Stegostoma tigrinum: one gene and its partner. The protein of the gene in region 1 interacts with the protein of each later gene in a pairwise test. Links are inferred from orthologs where the notes say so. Each region holds a gene or a part of one and is shown in the gene's direction. Other genes may lie near its edges. The genes, in order: polr2l and rpap1.

Region 1 (6,481 bases):
CCCGGATCATTACCCCACCCCCGAGCACCAAACCATCATCACCCAAAACATCCACAACAAAATCACCTTGGCTGACCACCCACCCACAGCATCCGACCTCATCGATCCCCAACCCCACACCACCCGCTTCTATCTCCAAAAACCACAAACCTGCCTGTCCTGGTTGACCCATTGTCTCCACCTGCTCTGGCCCCACCGAACTCATCTCCACCTATCTGGACTCCATTTTCTTCCCCTTGGTCCAGGAATTCCCTACGTACGTTCGAGACACCACCCACGCCCTCCACCTTCTCCAGAACATCCAATTCCCCGGTCCCCAACACCTCATTTTTACTATGGACGTGCAGTCCCTATACATCTGCATTCCCCATGCAGATGGCCTCAAGGCCCTCCGCTTCTTCCTGTCCTGCAGGCCCGACCAGTCACCCTCCAATGACACCCTCATCTGCTTAGACGAACCTGTCCTCACCCTCAACAACTCCTTTTTCAATTCTTCCCACTTCCTACAGACAAAGGGGGTAGCCATGGGTACCTGCATGGGCCGAAGCTATGCCTGCCTCTTTGTAGGTTATGTGGAATAATCCACTTCCGTACCTACACTGGCCCAAACCCCACCTCTTCCTCTGTTACTTTGATGACTGTATCAGCGTCGCCTCTTGCTCCCAAGAGGAGCTCGAACAGTTCATCCACGTCACCAACACCTTCCACCCCAACCTTAAGTTCTCCTGGACTATCTCTAACACCTCCCTCACCTTCCGGGATCTCTCTGCCTCCATCTCGGGCAACCACCTAGAAACTGATATCCATTTCAAGCCCACCAACTCCCACAGCTACCTAGAATACACCTCCTCCCACCCAACTTCTGCAAAAATGCCATCCCCTATTCCCAATTCCTTTGCCTCCCTCAAATCTGCTCCCAGGATGAGGCATTCCACTCCCGTACATCTCAGATGTCCTCATTTTTCAAGGACCAAAAGCTCCCCTCTGCAGTGGTCAAGAACGCCCTCGACTGTGTCTCCCATATTTCTTGCAACTCATCCCTCAGACCCCATCCCCACAATAACAACAGAATCCCGCTCGTCCTCACGTACCACCCCACCAACCTCTGGATCCAACGCATCATCCTCCAACACTTCTGCCATCTGCAATCCGACCCCACCACTATAGACATTTTTCCCTCCCCACCCTTGTCTGCTTTCCAGAGAGACCACTCTGTCCGTGACTCCATTATCCGCTCCACTCTCCCCTCCAGCCCCACCACACCCGGCACCTTCCCCTGCAACCGCAGGAAGTGCTACACCTGCTCCCTCACCCACATCCTAGGCCCCAAGATGACTTTTCACATCAAGCAGATGTTCACCTGCACATCTGCAAATGAGGTATACTGCTGTTCGCATTGTGGCCTCCTCTACATCGGGGAAACCAGGTGGAGGCTTGGGGATCGCTTTGCAGAACACCTATGCTCAGTTTGCAATAAACAATTGCACCTCCCAGTCACGAACCACTCAACTCCCCCTCCCATTCCGCAGATGACATGTCCATCCTGGGCCTCCTGCAGTGCCACAATGATGCCACCCGAAGGTTGCAGGAACAGCAACTCATATTCCGCTTGGGAACCCTGCATCCCAATGGTATCAATGTGGATTTTACAAGCTTAAAAATCTCCCGTCCCCCCACTGCATCCCAAAACCAGCCCAACTCATCCCTGTCTCCCTAACCTGCCCTTCCTCCCACCTATCCCCACCTCCCACCTCAAGCCCCACCCCCATCTCCTACCTACTAACCTCATCCTGCCCCCTTGACCTGTCCGTCCTCCCCGGACTGACCTATCCCCTCCCTACCTCCCCCACCTACACTCACCTTTCATGGCTCCACCCCCGCCTCTTTAACCTGTCTGTCTCCTCTTCACCTATCTTCTCCTCTATCCATATTTGATCCATCTCCCCCTCTCTCCCTATTTATTTCAGAACCCTCTTCCTCGCCCCCATTTCTGATGAAGGGTCTAGGCCTGAAATGTCAGCTTTCCTGCTCCGAAGATGCTGCTTGGCCTGCCAGCTCTACACCTTGTTATATCGGATTCTCCAGCCTCTGCAGTTCCTATTATCTCTTATGCAGACGATGATGTGTGTCTAGAATTTGCTGTGTGAGTTGGTGATGGAGGCAACGGCTCTAAACTCTTTTCGAAAGTCCCCGATCTGCGCCTGAAGTGCTGTAATCTGCAAAACTATGGGTTGTGTGCAGGAAGGTGGGATTGCAAAGGCATTTGGGTCAGCACAGGCAGGATGGACTGAATGGCCCCTGCTGTGCTGTTTCATTGCTCTGGTTAGACAGCAACCCACCCACACCTTGTAAAGGTTGAAATTAGGAAATGGGTAACAAGTCTTGACCCTGTAGTCTCTGAGACCCACCTCATGCCCCTCCTCCCACTTTGGAGGTGAAATTGAGAGAAACAGCGCCCCCCGCTGCTCTCAATTCCTCACCGCAGGCCCAGTACGGCACGCATGCGCAATCTGCCCGCGGGACATCATTTTCTCCCCCCCCCCCCAGCACATGCGCAGTGGGCTGACGCTGGGAGAAGTTTCCAGAAGCGGAGTTTCCGTCCCCACGACTCATTCTCGGAGACGGCGCCATGATCATCCCGGTCCGCTGCTTCACCTGCGGCAAGGTGGTCGGCAACAAGTGGGAGGCTTACCTGGGCCTGCTGCAGGCCGAGTACACGGAGGGGTGAGTAACAGCCGGGGGCGGGGTGGGCGGGGAGAGGCCTGGGGCCTGGGGCCTAACAACAACAACAACAACACCGGCCTCGGGCAGCGCCCGCACCTTCCATCCAGACTCTGGCCGGACTCACTGGGACAACGGGGAGGCCCGGTGCCACGATGAGTGCAAAGCCCCGGGTTAATGTTCCGGGGAAACAGGTTTGAACCTGGAGTGAAGAGTCTGGTGATGAACCCCTTGCCAGTTTGTGAGAAAACCCCACCTGGTTCGCTAATACCCTTTGGGGGGGGGGGGGGGAATCTGCCACCCACACCATGGCCTGGTCTACATGTGACTCCAGACCCACAGCAGTGTGGGTGACTGGGCTCCCCCCTCTCTGGGCAACTAATGCTGGTCAAGCCAGTGACACTCAGGTCCCGCGGGTGAATATAAAACAAACTTGGACAGAGCGCCAACAGTGTCAGCCTCAGAGATAGTAGAAACTGCAGATCCTGGAGACAGTGAGATAACACCGGCCTGGAGCTGGGTGAACACAGCAGGCCAACCAGCATCAGAGGAGCAGGGAAGCTGACCTTTCGGGTCTGAGCCCTTCTTCGTGACCCGAAACGGTACCCTTCCTGTTCCTCCGATGCTGCTTGGCCTGCTGTGTTCATCCAGTTCTCCACCTTAGTATCAGCCTTGGTCGAATTTATGAAAAGCCAAGATATGGCCAAGTGGTACATCTGTATGAATTAGGAGTCAAAGTAGGGAGTATTGACCCTTGAGCCAGATGTTTGGAATGCTGTGAACTGATTTAGAACCCTTATCAACAGAAAGACACGTTGCCATTGCAGGTGATCCAGAGAAGGCTCTTGAGGCTGATCCTGCTTGTGGAGGGATTTTCTTGAGATGTTGAGTTGGCTCAGCCAGAACACTGGACTCAGAAGATTGGCTGGGTGGCCTCATTAAAGCAAAAAGTTATTGGAAGGTGGGGACGTGGTGTTGGCATGACGGGTTGGATGCTAAGAAGTTGTTTCTCCATCTTGGAGAGTCTAGGACTAGAGGGTATAATGACAGACTAAGGAATTGCTCAGTTACACCAGAGTTGAGGAATCTCTTATGAGGGTAGTGAATCTGGAATTCTTTCCCACAGATTCTCTTGCTCAAGTTTGAGACACAGATTTTTAATCAGTAAAGGAATGAAGGATTGTAGGGAAACAGCAGGAAAATGGAGTTGAGTTATCAGATCAACCATGATCTCATTGAATAGTGGAGCAGACTTGATGGGCTACATGGCCTTGTTCTGCTCCTGAGACTTACAGTCTGTTCTGTAATTCAATAAGATCATGAGATAAATTGGGAAGAGACATTTTATACACCCACAGTAGGGTGGTGGAATGTGTTTAAAAAACAGTTTGTTCAATCAGTTACGAATTTTAAACTGTGGTTCATGCAAGTCCCCAAATAAGGATTAGGGGCAAAAGTCCCTCTATGGAAGCATAGTCATAATACAGCACAGAGAAAGGCTTTTTGGCCCAACAAGTAGGCTCGGAACGTCAGCTCTTGAGCTCCTAAGATGCTGTTTGGCCTACGGTGTTCATCCAGCTCCACACTTTGTTACCTAATTATTCTAATCCTGTTTTTCTACATTTGGCCATAGCCATGTATGCTTTGGCATCGCAAGTGCAAATCTAAATATTTAAATATTACAGTGCCTCTACCTGCCAGGTCTGCAACCTCATGGCCCAATATATCCCCAACTCTTAGTAACACCAAGCAGGGGATCAACCTTAGGTCAATGCAGAGTGCAGTAAGGTGTGTCAGAGCATTTCCACGTTATCCTAAAAGTGAGCTGTCAACCCGGTGAAGCTATGAAACAGGACTATTTACAAATCAAGAGGCATAAGCAGCAAGAGATAGACAAAGCTAAGTGATTCAAAACCAGCGGAATCAGATCTAAACTGTACAGTCTTCCTGTATCAAGTCATGAATGGTGGTAGATAATCAACGTCGCCCTTGAAGAGGGGGCTCCACCATTATTCCCAGCACCAGCGCAGAAGATAAGGCTGAAGCATTTGCAACCATCTTCAGTCAGAAATGCTGAGTGGATGGCACATCTTGGCCTCCAGTGGTCTTTGGCATCTCAGATACCAGTCTTCAGCCAATTTGATTCGCTGCATGTAATGTTCTTTGTTGATATCACAGCACAGAGAGAGACCTACCGAGTCCATGTTGGCCATTGATCTCCCATCTACACCCATCCCACCTTCCTAGCCTCACAACGCTGTCCACACAGCATGGTGCCTAAGTGATCACCTAACCACCTCCCAGAACATTATAGTCGTTCCCCCCCCACACACACCTCTCCAGGCAGTGTGTCGTTAATCAGCTGTGATCAAGGAGTGAAATGATAGTGTCCTGTTCTTTACAGTTTTGAGGTTTGTCCTAGTTCTGAACTTGCTCTATCCATCCTGTCAATCTGCTTTGATTGTTTCTAAAATGCTTGTGCTATATCATTGCTTAACCTTCTCTACTGAAGACCAAAAACTAGCCACCTACCTGTCCCCCTAATTTTAGTCCTTAGTGATGTATAGAGCTAGCAATATGATGTTAACGTGTTACTAAATGTGGGTTATCTGTTTCCAGTGATGCGCTGGATGCATTGGGCCTGAAACGTTACTGCTGCAGACGAATGCTGCTGTCCCACGTAGACCTGATTGAAAAACTCTTGAACTACGCACCTCTGGAGAAATGATGTGCCCTTAGTTTCTGGATTGTGGCAAGCAAAAGAATTGCTCAAACTCTTCTGGTTTGATGGCACGACTCTACAAACGTGGAACTGAATAGTTTTTTTTAAGTCTATATTTTTGGGATTGGAAGAAAAGAGTTTTCATTTTGTCTGTCTTGTAAATAAAATGAATTTAACTCTGAGCACTGTTTACACTTCATGAAAGGTCATTGATTAGGATTGTTGAGAGAGAATGCTCTTAAATTTGAAAGAGAACTGCTGCGAAGCTTTTTAAAAGAAGGGAAAAAAAGACAGGACAGTCAAAGGAGAAAAGAGACTGCTGGAAATACTCAGCAGGTAATGGCAGCAAGCATGGAGAGAGATAGTATCTTTAATCAGAATTGGAAGAAAAATTAGATCTCTAACAGGCTTAATCAGATACTGGGTGGGGGAAAAAATTTAAAAATCTTAGTGTAGAAGACAGGAGGGGTCCTTTGAGCTGGATTCTTTCCTTTTGTTGTGCTGGTTACAGGACTGTAAAAATAACTTTGTGGTTTTCAGCAGGAGGTCACTTGCCCATTACTATTACCAGTTGTTTACTTTGAGCTGTGTCCTCTACCCTACATCTGTTTATGATAAATAATTAGTCTGCTTTTCCCTTCATGGAATCTAAGTCAGGGATTCCCACAATGGAGGTCAGGGCCCTGAATGGAATAACAAACTCGGAGGCAACGGTGGCTGCTGTGGAGTTCTGAATTGTAAAAGCTGTGCTATTGCTCTGAGGCTCCTCTCCACTTTTGCAGCTCTCAAAGGGTCATTTGTTTTCAGGTCTCAATTACAGGGTCCTGGTGGGAGGCAACAGTTTGGGAAGTACTGCTCTAGTTTGAATTCTTAATGGTGCCTGGATTGAGAATCCTCGATCCACTGTCTTGGAAAGTGAGTTGTGTGCAACATGTCTTCAAGCTGCAAGGAACTTTAGACACCAATATACATTGTTTCAAGGTGTTTCCGATTGTCCAACTTTCCTTCCCAAGTATCACTAAAGCAATGCTGTTATCT
Region 2 (6,481 bases), on another chromosome or scaffold:
GTAGAGCCGTGGTTGGACGTTGAGTGATGTGTCTTCCAGCCATCATGAATGCCTAGAACTTTAAAATTGTTTTTCAACTCTGAGAGGATGTTCACAGGGTTTTTTCTTTAGCTAGTAACAAAAGTGTGGCCATGGGAAACCGCCGCACCATGACTTTCAGAAAAAAAATGCTTTAAATCAGAAAACCGTTCAACTATTCAGATTGTTGGGTCGTTAGTTAGCCATTGTTGATAGATGGGCTGAATGGCCTCTTTCTGAAACATAAGAATTTAGTTATTCAGTTGTGTCTTCCTGGTTAAGGAAGCATGAGGAAAAACATTTCGGTTATATTGTGCTTATATTGGAAATAATGAACGTTACAGTAAAGTTTATCGCAAAATCCGAAAAAATTGAAATAGTATTAAGGGATTTTATAGTATGGTGTTAATATAGTGGGATGACAGGCCCAGGTTAATACTCTGGGACATGAGTTGAAATCTCATCAATGAGGTGAAGTGACAGTCTAGTGGTAGTGTTGCTGGTCTGTTAATCCAGTGGCCCAGCTCAGGACCTGGGTTCATGGTAGATGGTGGAACTTGAATTCAATAAAAATCTGGAATTAAGAGTTCAGTGAAGACCATTAAACGACTGCCGATTGACGGAAAAACCTATCTGATTCACTGGTGTCCTTCAGGCAAGGAAACTGGCCTGGTCTACATTCAAATCCCACAGCAATATAGTTGACTCTTAACTGCCCTCTGGGCAATTAGGGATGGGCATAAATGCTAGCCTAGCCAAAGATGCCCTCATCCTGTGAATGAATAAAGTGCAGTTTGTGGATCTTAAATTTAATTAATAATTGAAAATTGAAAACTCACCTCAGTTCTGAGACTATGGAGCTATTATGTTGTAAAAGCCTACATAGTTCACTAATGCCCTCTGGGAAAGGAAATTTGTTGTCCTGTCCCAGTCTGTGACTTCAGATCCACAACAATATGGTTGCCTCTTTCTGAACTGCTCTTAACTGTTTTCTGAAATGACTTTGCTAGCCAGTCAGTGGAAGGGCAATCAGGGGATGGGCAACAAATGCTAGTGATGCCCACATCCCATGAAGGCACAAAGAAGCATAAACATGGTCAGTAAAATTGTTACTGGTGAACTTGGGCAGAAAACCGAGGAAAATGCCTCACCTATAGGTTTATGATAACAAAGTGTGAAGCTGGATGAACACAGCAGGCCAAGCAGCATCTCAGGAGCACAAAAGCTGATGTTTCGGTCCTAGACCCTTCATCAGAGAGGGGGTTGGGGAGAGGGTTCTGGAATAAATAGGGAGAGAGGGGAGGCAGACGGAAGATGGAGAGAAAAGATAACCTCATCCTGCCTCCTTGACCTGTCCGTCTTCCCTGGACTGATCTATCCCCTCCCTACCTCCCCACCTATACTCTCCTCTCCACCTATCTCTTTTCTCTCCATCTTCTGTCCGCCTCCCCCCTCCTTATTTATTCCAGAACCCTCTCCCCATCCCCCTGTCTGATGAAGGGTCTAGGCCCGAAACGTCAGCTTTTGTGCTCCTGAGATGCTGCTTGGCCTGCTGTGTTCATCCAGCTTCACTTTGTTATCTTGGATCCTCCAGCATCTGCAGTTCCCATTATCTCTGATCACCTATACGTTTCCCTGTCACGATTTCCAGGCAGGCAAAAATACCACGCACACCTTGCAAATTAAGCAGGAGTTACTTTGGAAAACGTTGTCAGCGAATGATCTCATTGTGATGGAAACAACTGACTGAGCTGAGCTCCTTCTCCTGTGGGTTGAGGGGCTCCCATGGGACAACCCCTTCCGAGATTTCCAAAGAAAAATAATGTCGCCCTTTTTCGCGACCGCTAGACGTCCCAAAGCTGCTTTACTGCCGTCGAAGTACACTTGAAGTGCAGTCATCGAGGAGGCTTGCCAAGGAAGAGACAATTGAGAATAGATCCTCGAATATCTGGTGTGTACTGTTCATAGCTTAAAGTGCGGAATTGAGAATTGCCACTCCAAACCTTTCACTTTCTTCGTGCTTCGACAAATAGCCTCTTGCTGTTGAGGTTATTTCTGTTTTGGTGGGGTGGGGAGGGGGGTTCTCTATTTTGCATTATAGGAATTGAAGGGAATCCCCCTCCCATACCCATTCCCTGTGTTCAACTTGGCGGGTGAGAGATGTTCCAATTGTTTGCATCCGAGCGACCTAGTGGTGGACGGAAGTCGTGGGGACGGATTTTCCGTTGCACAGTTGCGAATAAGCTCTATCCGCGGTAATGAGCGGAAGCCGAGCCGGGGCCGGGTTATGCGTGTGACGCCAAGCGGGGCGGAAGTGGCGCTTGGCGTGGGTTCCAGGTGGAGGTTTGGAGCGAAACAGTAAGAGTTTGGGAGAGGGAGAGAGGGCGAGAAGTAGAGAAGAAGAAGGAGAGAGAGTGAAAGAAAGAAAAGGGGGGGGGGGAGAGGAGAAGTAGAGGGAGGGAAAGAAGAAGAGGAGGAGGAGGAAAGAAGGGATGGGGAGAGAAATGATGAACGATTGGAGATATATGGGGTAGGGGGTGCGGAGATACCAGGTGAGGGAAGTGAGAGGCAGAGATGTGCAAATAGAACAATGTGTGCCGATTATAAGAGGTTCCGCTCTGATGAAGAGTCCGAAACGTCAGCTTTTGTGCTCCTGAGATGCTGCTTGGCCTGCTGTGTTCATCCAGCCTCACATTTTATTATGCAGGTTTAATCTAAACTGTAAGGATGCCAGTGACAGCCTTAAATCTGGAAGGGTGATAGATTGGGCCATGCCTACTCTGTGTTCAGCATTTTCTCATGTTTCTCTAGAACTTCACTCTGACATCGCCATCTCTGCCGCATTCATTGTAGAGGAGAACTGTGTGTGCTGAGAGAGTGCACGATTTGCTGGCCTGTTTTCTCTTGGCCAGCTGAGTTTTGTGTTTTTGCCATTTCGGCAGCCATCCCCACCAGGGGACACGGCTGCTTGTGATTACCTCCAAATTGTCAGTGTCTGCCACCTCACTTGCAAGGTATCCTTCTTGCAGAAGTATGGACTCTCAGGAAGTTGTGACCCAGTGGCCAGTTCACTGTATAGAAGGCCTCTGGGTATAAGGCCACGAGTCATCCAATGAGTACGGCTGAGTCAGTGCAGACATCGTTGCCTTAGCAATGAGTGTATGCTTGAGGAGTTAGGACATTCCAGAACTTGAGAGTTAGTGACTTTATCCTGCCAAAAGATACGCTATATACATATGAGACAGCGAAGGTGGAAACTGTCCAGCCTTTGTTCTGCTTAGCATGCATTGTCTAGGTCTGATAAATAGAGAGGAATGTACTGAGGATGCAGGTTTATTAGGTTTGCAGTTTGATGTTCTCAGAATGCTATACTACACTGTCTCACTGAGATCATACAGAGCAGCTGTGTGATGTGTGTGTTGATTTCAGCACTTGGTGACAGATTGGTGGTTGTGGAACCTTGATACATAAAGGTTTAGTGTTACACTATCAAGTGCAGTGTAGCAATGTCTTGGAAAGTGACAGTAGCCTTTCTGATGCTGATGGTCTAACCAAGTCCTTTCCAGGCGTGAGAGCATCTGCACGTTTGCTGCTGAGGATGTTTCTCGATGTGAAATTATTCTGCAGCATCGTTGGTGTGGAGCAACTCTCTGCTGATGATTTGGTGCACTTTAGTCTTGGATCTTGGGTAAGGCAGGTTGAACAGATCTCTGTCAAATCTGGTATATAAGTAGACCCCTCTGTAAATTACCTGGCGACATATAACAGCAGCAAAGAGGAGAATATGCCAAATGTGTGAGTGCCAAAACACAGTCCTATTTCTTGAAGGTTTCTGACCTTGACCTTTTCTATCACGCTGTCATGGAAACAGGAGATCACGTTTATCAGTCGCGTTGGGTACCCAGTGTTCATCAACAGCCTAAGTTGACTGTCTTTACTCAGGTAGTTTAATGGCTTTTAAGAGCTTACCGTGGAAATGCACACCAGTCTCCTCTGTTCCTGACATCTCATCTTGCAACTCTGTAGCGGAGAGAATGAGCTAATTCTGTATTTTCTAGTTCTGATGCCAACCTGGGATTTGGGATGGATATGATCTGCAGTCTGACAACGGCAACACAAACAAATACTTCACCTGTGATGCACGTTAAAGGAGGTACTGGGATCATTGTTACGATCACTGTGGTTGTCTTTGTTCTCCTACAGAGTCACAGTTGGAGCATGCAAATTCCTGAGTGCTGCTCCCTTCCACCAGCAGAGGTAGGGAAGTTTGTGTAGATGCTGCAGGAGTGCTGGTTTCTCCTGCTCGATGAGTTCGGACGGTAAGGATCGGCATCAGCACCTTGACCTATGCCAGTGAGTCACTAACGTCGCTAATTTCCTCAACTGTGGGGTCAATATCCAGCTTCAATGGCCGGAGCACCCATTCTTTTATGTCAGTCTGGGCTTATTTCTTGTAACGGCTCTGTCATTTTAATGCACTGCAGTGAAACTGGAGTGTGCTTTCTGGGACACGTTCTGAGGCAAAATCTATGTAGGCCCTAGGCTGCCCCAAAAGCCAAGGTACGCTTCTTGATCTCCTTAGTTTGTTTAAAGTCAATGCAAAACACCCTGCTTGGTGTTGGCTAATTGCAACAGTTGCCAGAAGGTAGCATATCCAGATGTCAATTCGCCTATGGGTTTCACTCCAGTGTTTTGTCTGCGTTTGCTTCCTCAGCATCAGCTCTCCAAAATATCCATATACAGTGGACTTACACTTCCATAGCTTGGAGTTTGAATCATGAATTCCTGGGCCTGTCCACTTGCAAACCTGCACATTACATCTGGGAATCAAACCTCCATCGGGGTTCCCTGAAGATGCAGCTTGGGGCTGCGAGAGACCCAGTTTCACCAGAAGGAGACACTAGTTAATGGGAGAGGCTGTGTTACTGATAAGAAATGGTTTACACGTTTGGTTGGCCTTTCACGTTACAACTGGGTAGCAGTATAGCCTGAAAATGAGAAGCAAATAAGTATGCGTGAGCTGAAAGATGTTAAGTTTCTTTATCCACATACTAGACTACATGTGGATGCATTGGAATCATCTGTGGGAGAAACACTGACAAAATATGAAGCAGGCACTTGGAGACTGGACCAAAGAACATTGCGAATGTGTGATGTACGGCCAGGAGCAGGACTGAGAGCTGAAACAGGAGAGGAAACAGACAAGCATTGATGTGTATTGCTCCCTCTAGTTGTTCCTTTTCCCTCCTTATAATTGCCTACTTGACATTTATTGCCCCACTTTCAGTCGTGCTTATCACTTTTTCATGTCAAAATGAGTTTATCCCTACATGAATATAACAGAATGACTGATTTGGGATAGGTGAGATCAATGTGAGGGTTTTCTCTATGAATTGGTCTCCTGCTTCTCTCTATATCCTTAATTGAATATATACGTTTGCTCTTGATGCAGATTTACCATGTTAGACTTTTAAATTGATCCCACTGGCCAGGCAGCTACCCATCCCTACCTTTCCAGTGGGCTTTCAATCTCCACAGTAGAAAATTGACTCCCGTTCAGTTCAGGGCTCAGCATAGGCTGGAAGACTTGGACATGGATTAGGGCTGAATGCTGGACTCTGGAGTGTGTGTGTGTCAGTGAGGGACCACTCTCCTTTTGATGAGCGGTTTATCAGATGTCAATTCCATTGTGGCCTATGAGCAGTTGTGACATTAGTGGAATGAACCATTGGTTCCAAAGCGCAGGGATTTCTTAACAAAGTGGTCGTTCCCAGATTACCTTATTTTATGCTTAAAGATTGCAGGGTGATGATCAGAAGGAAGAACCTCCAATCTTCTATATCAGTTTACAACAGTCAGGAAGAAGGTGTAAGTTGTGGTTGTTTGGTAGCTGTCTTGATTCAAAATGGAAAAGATCACAATGCAGAGGTTGCATTGACACCGTACTGTGGAACTGATGAAGTGCTATATTGTTGGAGATATCATTCTTTGGATCAGATGTTAAGCCATGGTTCTGTCTGGCCCCTCACACCATCCTATTTCAAAGGAGAGCAGGAAAATACCTGGCTTTGTAGTAATAATTGTGCCTCACAGATTAGAGGGTGTTGGTTCTGATCTAGGGTCCCTGCTGAGCTAGTTGATTTAAGCATTGTTTTGTGGCCTTCGCATCCGAGGTGACGAAGGGCGAGATGGTAAATGAGCCAAACTTTGTTCCCACTTGCTTTATTGCAGTCAAAGCTGCACTCCTTAATGGTTTGGGTGGACAGCAGATTGAGTCGAGAGAGGGCTGGACAATGGAAGCTCATGCAGTTGAAAGACCTATTGCTGCTTGTTGCCTGGGTTGATGTGTAAGTCGTGGTTAGCAGCCTTGGTCTGCTATTGCCAATGAAAGGCACCTTAGTAGTTGCAAATCAGAAAGTGTTAATCACCGTCCTCTGTGATATGGGTGTTGGATAACTGGTTA

The links.
Region 2: the proteins of polr2l (region 1) and rpap1 interact in binary tests that used the Homo sapiens proteins (3 or more experiments, as listed by UniProt). The link is inferred for Stegostoma tigrinum from reciprocal best matches to the Homo sapiens genes POLR2L and RPAP1.

What each region holds. Positions count from the first base shown.
Region 1 is NC_081391.1:22,281,043-22,287,523, forward strand, and holds polr2l (DNA-directed RNA polymerases I, II, and III subunit RPABC5), read left to right. Parts: upstream 1-2,549; 5' UTR 2,550-2,629; coding exon 2,630-2,724; intron 2,725-5,340; coding exon 5,341-5,449; 3' UTR 5,450-5,625; downstream 5,626-6,481. UniProt on the Homo sapiens protein: DNA-dependent RNA polymerase catalyzes the transcription of DNA into RNA using the four ribonucleoside triphosphates as substrates.
Region 2 is NC_081363.1:79,314,997-79,321,477, reverse strand, and holds the start of rpap1 (RNA polymerase II-associated protein 1), read left to right. Parts: upstream 1-2,308; 5' UTR 2,309-2,376; intron 2,377-3,559; exon of another isoform or gene 3,560-4,171; intron 4,172-6,481. UniProt on the Homo sapiens protein: Forms an interface between the RNA polymerase II enzyme and chaperone/scaffolding protein, suggesting that it is required to connect RNA polymerase II to regulators of protein complex formation.